3 linked regions of the Coturnix japonica genome follow. The protein of the gene in region 2 interacts with the protein of the main gene of each other region in a pairwise test. Links are inferred from orthologs where the notes say so. Each region holds a gene or a part of one and is shown on either strand. Other genes may lie near its edges.

The links. The genes of interacting proteins can lie anywhere in the genome.
Region 1: the proteins of EHHADH (region 2) and CAT interact in a two-hybrid assay, tested with the Homo sapiens proteins (2 studies listed by BioGRID, with this or other methods). The link is inferred for Coturnix japonica from reciprocal best matches to the Homo sapiens genes EHHADH and CAT.
Region 3: the proteins of EHHADH (region 2) and DES interact in binary tests that used the Homo sapiens proteins (3 or more experiments, as listed by UniProt). The two-hybrid records come from large-scale screens. The link is inferred for Coturnix japonica from reciprocal best matches to the Homo sapiens genes EHHADH and DES.

The regions. Positions count from the first base shown.
Region 1 is NC_029520.1:6,151,039-6,154,538, reverse strand, and holds part of CAT (catalase), read left to right. Parts: intron 1-332; coding exon 333-437; intron 438-1,611; coding exon 1,612-1,737; intron 1,738-2,689; coding exon 2,690-2,881; intron 2,882-3,434; coding exon 3,435-3,500. UniProt on the Homo sapiens protein: Catalyzes the degradation of hydrogen peroxide (H(2)O(2)) generated by peroxisomal oxidases to water and oxygen, thereby protecting cells from the toxic effects of hydrogen peroxide.
Region 2 is NC_029524.1:2,564,206-2,567,705, reverse strand, and holds part of EHHADH (peroxisomal bifunctional enzyme), read left to right. Parts: intron 1-438; coding exon 439-542; intron 543-1,244; coding exon 1,245-1,417; intron 1,418-2,613; coding exon 2,614-2,725; intron 2,726-2,948; coding exon 2,949-3,053; intron 3,054-3,500. UniProt on the Homo sapiens protein: Peroxisomal trifunctional enzyme possessing 2-enoyl-CoA hydratase, 3-hydroxyacyl-CoA dehydrogenase, and delta 3, delta 2-enoyl-CoA isomerase activities. Catalyzes two of the four reactions of the long chain fatty acids peroxisomal beta-oxidation pathway.
Region 3 is NC_029522.1:24,553,372-24,555,532, forward strand, and holds the end of DES (desmin), read left to right. Parts: coding exon 1-104; intron 105-197; coding exon 198-418; intron 419-506; coding exon 507-556; intron 557-757; coding exon 758-840; intron 841-925; coding exon 926-967; 3' UTR 968-1,661; downstream 1,662-2,161. UniProt on the Homo sapiens protein: Muscle-specific type III intermediate filament essential for proper muscular structure and function.

The sequences.
Region 1 (3,500 bases), on a different chromosome or scaffold from region 2:
GTGTTCATATGCAAAGTTAAGAGTGTTTGCCTTTCATTGGACAGAAGTTGAAAGCATTTTCTGTCTTTGAACATTCTGTTTATTCTAATGGTAAATATTCTGCTTTCATAGTCAAATCAGTAAAATTAGAGTAACAAATCTGATTGCAGGAAGTAAAATTCAATAGAAGATTTTTCTTAAAGCTTTCTATTTCTCCAGTGTTTTGTTCCTTTCATAGCTAAAAATGTTGACTAAAGCTGCCAATCTTGTTTTGTACATGTATACCATGTATTTGGGGATATGAAATAAAACTTGTTTTTTCCTCTCTTCCCTTTCTTCCCTGGGCAAATTAGTTTCCATCCTTCATCCATAGTCAGAAGAGGAATCCTCAGACTCATTTGAAGGATCCAGATATGGTATGGGACTTCTTGAGTCTTCGCCCTGAGTCTTTGCATCAAGTAAGTTTCTCTTCTCTTCTAATTTCATATTACGGCAGCATGTTTTTAACTGAAACTTTTTTTCTGGAAGCCTACATAATATTTTAGGCACAGTAGAGTTCAAAGGCCTTTAATACCTTTGATATTAAGGTTTTTAGCACTTCTAGTTTTGCCTTTTTTCTTTAAAAGAGTATGAAAAAGCTAGATTTCTCTCATTTCTGTGGTCATATTTTACATAGAGATGGAAAGAAAGTTTGTATGTTTCCTTAATACTAAGCCCATGGGAGAGCTGATTAACAATGAGCCTGTATATTAGTATCAGCATATGAAAAAGAATGCTATATGAAAAGCTAGAGAAAATTGAAATACAGTTGTGTTTTTTAAAATTAGATGGTTTCATATAGTAGTTTTCCAGTTACTACTGCTTGGGAATAGAGATACAACAAGCATTGTTTGATTGTAAACCTGAAGAAAAACAGCATTCTGAGTAATGCTGGTGCTATGTTTGTTGCCTAAAGACACTTAGGGGTTTGTTATTTAGGACTTAAAATTTCAGGTGTTCTTTATTTTATAGAAAATCTTATTTCTATTTAAATATCTATGCTTTTTTGCTCTGTGTTATAGAGAAAATCACAGCATTATCACTAGGTTGATGTGTTTTTCCTTTAATATTTAAAGTGGGTGTAACTCTTTGAATCCTTGTTGCATGCTGTATTGGAAACTGGTAATCACAGCCTGAAGCTCTGATTAATCAGCTGAGGCAAGTGTTGGGTCAGCTGTGGGAGCACAGGTGAGAGTAATCTAGCTGTGCTCCTGGAAGGGGTGAACCTCAACTCCTCCTCCTCCAAGACCTCATTTAAGGGCTGACCACCACTGAGGCAGCATCTTTTGGAGATTGCTCCCCAGTGGAGACTGCCTCAGCTTTCTGGTCAAGGCATTGACATTAGTGAGTTTTCCTTTGCTAATAAATTTTGAATATCTACACCATCATCTTTGTTAACATCTTTATGTTAGCCACCCTTACACATGTGCAAAATCTAAGAAGTCTTAGTTTATTAGAAACTTAAATTTCTCTAGGATGTTGATACAATATTTAATACTAAATGTTTACAGTGATATAATAAGTGACCTACTTTCAAGTGGTTGTTTAATTGAGCTGTTAAATGAGCTAATATTGTTGGATTCTTCTCTTTAGGTGTCTTTCACATACAGTGATCGTGGTATTCCTGATGGATATCGTCACATGAATGGATATGGATCTCATACTTTCAAACTTGTTAATGCTAGTGGGGGAGCTGTTTACTGCAAATTCCACGTTAAGGTGTGCTTTTTCTCCACTTAACTATTGGAAGTAGAATTTATGCTAAATTCCACTTGAAGATTGTCTGAATGCTCTGTATTTTACTTCTACTTTAATTCAGAAGATAGTTACTTAGTGCATATACTTAATATATATTGTGTGCGCGTCATTTCAAATCGATTGCATGCATTTAATATATGTAGAGGATGTTCTGTAGAACTACTACACTGACGTATGCAAGGACAAAGAGTATAATCCTCTTTCTGAGATCTGTGGCTGAAACTTGTAGAACTTTCCTACTTTGTTGGGAAGTAACTCAGTAGCACATCCCACTTGCAAACAACTTCCCTGTTTTAAAGACAGTGGAGCTGCCTAACTTGTTAAACTTCAGTTAGTGGAGCCTGGCTGCTTACCCCTGAAGCAAGGCTTGAGAAACCATTATTCTAAACTAAGAGGAACTGCATAGCAGCTTTTAGTCCTTGAGTTGTCAGATGATTATTAAAATGGCACTATAGTTCCTGTTGAGGATGTCAGAGAAATTTCAGAAGAAAGAAATTTCAGAAGAATATTTAAAAAGACAGATTCTATATGAATCTCAGACTTTCAGTATTTGCTAACTTTCCGTCAGTTTATTTTGGCATGTGATCTGTGGGAAGAGATGATATGGTGGGACAGTAGAGGAGCACCCCATCCTATGGGGGGAAAGGAGAAATATCTTCACCTTATGATCTGTAGAGATCATATTTTCATGTTTGTTTGTATGTAGCATAGCATTACATTTATTTCTGTTTTATAAGAGAACTCACTTTTACCTGGTAGCCAGCTGTATTGCTACCCAGACTGGTATTACTGTAGACTGGGACAGTCATGCTTTTAGTTCTTGAGTCTTGTTAAAACACATTGTTGTTATTATTGTTTATTTCCTTTAATTTTTGCATGTCATACCTGGTTCTACTGCTTTTGTTCCTTTTAGACTGATCAGGGCATCAAAAATCTTTCTGTTGAAGAAGCAGGGAGGCTGGCTGCTACTGATCCTGATTATGGAATTCGTGATCTTTACAACGCCATAGCCAATGGAAACTATCCTTCTTGGTCTTTCTACATTCAAGTTATGACTTTTGAAGAAGCAGAGAGGTTCCCATTTAATCCTTTTGATTTGACTAAGGTATCTCTGTTGTTCTTCCTTGCTGAAACAGTTACATTGTGTGGTCTTGATGTTGGTCTTGTTTTATGTCAGACTTCCAGATGCTGTTGCAAAGAATGGCACTTAGGAAGGTAGTAATACAAATTTACTTTTTTTTTTTTTTTCCCCTCAAATATTGCCCTCCCCAAATGTCTAAATACTTCTGACCTTGAAACTGCAGCATGACGAAAGTAAGGCTAGTTTATCCAGTTGCTTTTTCTTAGTAGCAGAAAACCATCATGCTACCAGTTCCACATACAATGCTGCATTCCTAGGCATCTCTTCAAGTGCCTGTGGGTATTTCATTTAAGCAATCATGTGCTGGGATTATGCCATGAAGCAATAATTTTGCACAAATGCTCCATATGAATTTCAAAGGACAAATTCCTCAAAATGTCTGTTAGTGAAGTAAGAAATAATTCAATAATGTATTTTCTCTCAGTTGAGACTTTATTAAGCAGCACTTGCCTGTTTTGTTACTTAAGCTGCATAATACTGATTACATTTATTTTAATGCATGCATTTTCTCTTATAGATTTGGCCACATAGTGACTACCCTCTCATTCCGGTGGGCAAGATTGTCTTGAACAGGAATCCTGTC
Region 2 (3,500 bases):
GTGAAACTAAGGGCTTCTAAGTCATTTCCTATGGAAAATCCAGAACCATCTGAACCAGACTCTTTCTATTGCTATTTTGCAGCTGCTGATCACACGGCTAATGTAAGCACAGAAACATTGGATTGCTTCCTGTGACAGAATTATGTGTCTTTTTCTACACAATATTTTCAAATCAATAATTTCATAATTGCTCAAAATCCCATTGCAGGCTTTTTTCCCCTCTTGGCAGAGGTGAGCAGTGATAAGCTTGTTGGATTTTGGCACTTGCTCTTGAAGTGAGAGGGAGACTAACAAAGATTCAACCAGAGAGGGTATGGCAGAACACAAAGCAGAGGACAGACATACATGGATTCATTGCTTATTTTCACTGAGCCGCTTTGTGTTGGTGGAAAAGTAAAATTGTTGGTTGTTAGTCACTGAATCTCTTATTTATTTCAGTTTGACAGTTCTCCAGGCATTAGAGGATGGACTGAAAAGAGCAGATGCAGATCCTTCAGTGAAAGCTGTTACAATTTGTGGTGAAAATGGGAAGTTCAGTGCAGGTAAGACATACCTTCAAACAGTATAAGAAAAAGAGGAAGAACTCTGCCATGTAACACTAATAACAAAATGCCACAGATTCTGATGTGGCTGAAAATGTCTGAAAAACAGTGAACCTTTTCTGCTGTCTCAGACTGATGTAGGACACATCACAGATTGGACTGTCCAGGCCAGAAATAAGCCAGTAGATTCATGCTGAAACAGGGAACAACTTCTCATCTTTCTATCTTGCTGATATGCTGGTGTCTCATGACATTGTATAAAATCTCAGGACCAAGAATTAGCCAATTATATAGACCCGTCTTGGGATGGGGCAGTTGTAACAGATCTCCAGTTGTAGAGATCTGTGAAGCTAACAGATTTCTGTGGAGTTTGACATTACCTGTAAGTAGCAATTCAGCTTCTCCAAACGAAATTTCTTTTATTTTTTTAAGCAAGTATCCTTGCAAAATACTGTCGTAATTGCATGATCATTACAGTTATGTACTCTTCTATTTTGCCATCCCTTTAGTACTCTGAATAGGCTTAAGGAGCCTGGGTTTCTTGCAGCTGGTCTCAAGAGATCATTGCCAGTTAATATGCCAGCAGTGTGTTCTTTCAGACCTCAGTCATCCATGAGTGGTGACGTTTAATGGCACCGAGGGAAGAGTCATTCCACTCACTGCCTCCTCCACTAATTCCTTTTCATCTTTGTGCTTCCACAGGCGCTGATATTCGGGTATTTTCTTCTCCAAAGAAGCAGGGTCTTGGCTTGGGCCCCATAATTTCTCTCATAGAAAGGAGCGAGAAGCCTGTTGTGGCTGCCATTGAAGGGATCGCCTTAGGGGGAGGCCTGGAGGTGGCACTTGGCTGTCACTATCGTATAGCACACGTGCAGGTAACACCATGAAGTAGAGAAGTTGGTGGGAAAATCTGGAGCCTGTGGCCATGTAAAGAGCGGGAGGCTGCTCCTGAAGAGCAGCTGAGCAGTGTGTCTTTTCTAATTAGAAACTTCAGAAACTGAGTATTAATTTGCACTCATTCTCAGTAGTCATTATCAGAATTCTGGGGAGCTGGCTCATGCAGTATGATTTCCTCTTATTTTCGTCCCCAGCCATGCGAATTTAGCATTTCTTTCTGCAAGTGGCCTAGTTTCAATAGGTGAAACTCAGCTAGCACAGAGCACTTACAATTTGATTCCTCTCGGGCTGTTTCCTCAGGGTGCACTCTAACCAACAGACAGCTTCCCCTCCTCCCCATTTAAGTCTTTCAAAATCATCTTTTTTTTGTTTCTCTCAAATCCCTTCCTTCAGGATTGCCCAGCTGTCTTTTAGCAGCACCTCATCTCCTTACAGAGACTCTTCCCTGACAGGAGCATCTCCTCACTTTATCAGAGCAAATCACTTTCTCCCTGACAACGTGGGTTGCTGTAACACAATGAAGAGACACTTTATATACCCTGCATGTGATCTAAGATAGGTGCCTGAAGTAGCGGTCTTAAAATAACCCCACATCTCTTAAGAGCTCAATTAGAAATGTACAATTAAAATAAATAAATAAACAAGCTGAATAAATATTGAAATTAAGATAGGAGCTGTCACTGGCTTCTTTACCATAACTTTAGTAAATCTCAAGTGCATCAAGAAGTACCTGAGCGTTTTTGAAAGATAGTGAAGTGTTCAGTATGCAAGTGTTTTCCTACAATATGTTTCTCATATATAAGGAAAGGAGACAGCAGGTCATGGAGATGCTGACAATTGTTTGTCTTCTTGAGCTGTGCAGCTGGAAGCATTGGTTTGCACATCTTGTGGTCTAGAGTGATGCTGTTGTCTCCATCAATCTCCTCCAGCATTGTGCTAGTACTCATACATCCACTGATGGATCATATCTCTTCTGCCCCTGTACATAAGCTCTTGAAAAAGTTGAGTGGGCTTCTGGGTTAAACCTCTCACACAGTAAAAAGCAGAAATGAGGGTTTTATGTAGTAGTTTTTCAAGGATTCCTAAAGAATCAAGTCTGATTGTTTTGTTCTGCTCAGTTCCTAATTGTTAGTCTTGTTAATCAGATTTGTTGTTGAATTTGTCTCTAATCTAGGCACGGATGGGTTTACCAGAAGTCACAATTGGGTTACTTCCAGGTGCTGAAGGCACTCAGCGGCTCCCCAGACTGATTGGGATTCCTGCTGCTCTGGATATAATTACTACAGGTAAAGTGCTGTGCCTTGCTCTGTATATAAGGATAACAGTGGGTCATGCCGTTGCTTTTGTCTAATGAAGCCTAATGTTTGTTTGTAAGGACATGGCTGCTTGAGTTGAAATTCAGCTTGGTTCTTCTAAGGATAGATTGATCAGATCAAAAAAAAAAAAAGAAAGAGTGAAGTCACATGCAACACCCCAGCTGTAATCGCCTTATTTCTCTCTTCATCACAGGAAGACATGTTCCTGCAACTGAAGCACTGAAGCTGGGCTTGGTTGATGAAGTTGTGGAAGAGAACACAGTTGAAGCAGCAATCCGTTTGGCAACCAAGTTGATTGGTGAGAATTGTAGCAATGCCAAGAAATAATTGGTGAGGCTGAAGAGAATTAGAACAAAGCCCATTAGCGTGTTCCAGCCTTCACAGTCCATTCATTGGGTTTTGGCATCCATACGAAATGGAATTAACAGCAGGATTTGTTTTCTGTTAAGTGAAAGTTGAAAATCTCAGATGCTGAAGAGCTGCAGAAATTTGGTTGAGGATTAAGTGGGAAAAAAAAAACAACAGAGTCCTCGTGCTTCTATAATTTTATATCCATGCTTTTCTGGACTACTGCACTCAACTGATTTTAGAGACTATGTGCTGTTTCTATACATAGTTTTGGATGATAGCTGGAATTGTATGTAGTCTGGTTGTGCCATCGATAACAGCCAATTGAAAACAACGTTCTCCCTCTAGTGGAGGGACTGGCACATCCTCAGCTGAACTCAGTGATCCACGAGTAACT
Region 3 (2,161 bases), on a different chromosome or scaffold from region 2:
CCAACAAGAACAACGATGCCCTGCGGCAGGCCAAGCAGGAGATGCTGGAGTATCGCCACCAGATCCAGTCCTACACCTGTGAGATCGATGCCCTCAAGGGCACGGTGAGCCATAGACAGCACGGAACGAACCCCAGGAAGGACTTTGGGGTGCTCTGTGTGCCACCCCCCTGCTGACACACACCACTTTCCCCCCAGAACGACTCTCTGATGCGCCAGATGAGGGAAATGGAGGAGCGCTTTGCAGGGGAGGCCGGCGGGTACCAGGACACCATTGCACGGCTGGAGGAGGAGATCCGGCACTTGAAAGATGAGATGGCCCGGCAGCTGCGTGAGTACCAGGAGCTGATGAACGTCAAGCTGGCCCTGGACATTGAGATTGCCACCTACAGGAAGCTGCTGGAGGGCGAGGAGAGCAGGTGAGCTATAGGGGGAAGCAGGGCGATGGGGGGGGGGGCCTGGTTTTGGAATGGTTGGTGCTGAGCTCTCCCCTCTGTGTCCGTGCAGGATCAGCATCCCCATGCACCAGACCTTTGCCTCCGCTCTCAATTTCCGAGGTGAGCTGGGCTGAGCCCTCGGGAGTCCCCGTGAATGGCACGCTGAGCTGGGAGGAGGGTGGGGAGGAGGGGCACATGGGGTGTTTGGGTGAGGTGGGGGGACTCAGGGCTCCTGGAAACCCTCGGCCCCAGCCCCAGTGCCACCTTCCCATGCCACCTGGCTGCGTGGCCGCTGCCATCCCCGTGTCCCCTTCCCCACAGAGACCAGCCCAGACCAGCGTGGCTCTGAGGTGCACACCAAGAAGACAGTGATGATCAAAACCATCGAAACTCGTGATGGAGAGGTGAGCGCTGTGTGTGTGTGTGGGGGGGGGCAGATGGGCGGTGAGGATCGGGGACATGGCATCATCTCACGTTCCTTTCCCTCAGGTGGTGAGCGAGGCGACCCAGCAGCAGCACGAGGTGCTGTAGAAGACTCTGTCCCGGTGCCCAGCCGCCCTTCTGCCCCCCCCAAGCCCGTACTCCCCCCGACACGGCCGCCTCCGGGCACGGCCCGGGCTCCCCCCACACCCCCGGGCTCTCTCCTTCGGCTTCGCAAGGCTTCGCAGCTAGCGCCAGGATCAGGGCCGGGCCGGGGGGCGGCAGAGAGGGACGGAGGGGACAAGCAGGAAGGGGTGGGGGGAGCAGGTGGTGGCCTCGGGTCCCAGCAGCGGGTTCTGCATCCCCCCGCGCCCCGCAGCCCCCTCCCCGCTCGGGGGCGGTCCCGCAGGAGCAGGAGCCGTCTCCCCGCACGGCACAGCAGCTCGCCCCGGAGCTGGCGTTTCTCCTGGGTGGGGCTGCAGCGATGCCGGGGACGGGGAGAGGTTGGGGTGCTCCGGGGGCCGGGGCTCTGCGCTCCCCCCCTACGCTGCCCTAGAGGCAGCCCCGTCCGGGGGAGGAGGGGGAGAGGCTGCGCGGGGATGGGGCTGGCTGAGCAGAGAGGAAACCCGTAGGTGGACACAGGAAAGAGCAGGAGTGAGTGAGTGGGAGAGAGGGGGCAAAGAGAGAGAGGAGCCGGAGAGAGGCCCGGGGGCCAGGGCCGGCGCCCCCACCCCTCGCCCCACCGCACCCCCACCCCACCGCGTGTACGTGACTGCCGGCGGCTGAAATAAACAAGAGGAGCATCGCCCTGCCTCCAGTGCATCTATGGGGCGGGAGCGTGGGAGGGGAAGGGGGCGGTACACGGGGGGGGACATCGAGGGGTACTCAGTTCCACCACTGGGGAGCAACCTTGCCGATACCAGGACTGCAGCAGAGCCCGTCCCCGAAGGGAGCTGAGCCCTGAGCAGCCTCAGAATGACTGCGGGATCCCCACACTCTGCTGGGACCCTTTGCCCGCAGTCGGAGCTGGGCTGGCCCCCAGCACACGGAGGGACGCTCCGTGTTCCCCCCTCAGGGTCACAAAGCGTTGAGGTGGCTCTCAGCCGGTGCTGCCCCTCTTCCCCTCGTCATCGCCGTTCCCAGTGGGATGTTTTAGCGACAAAAACCAAGTGTCCTCAATCTGTTGCCACCGGCGGGGACAGGGCTGCCGCCGGAGAGACTGAACAACTCACTGTCTTTGTGGGGACCCCCCCCTTATTTGGCTGCAGGACCAAAGAGAGGGCTGTAGGGCTTTCAGACCCCAAG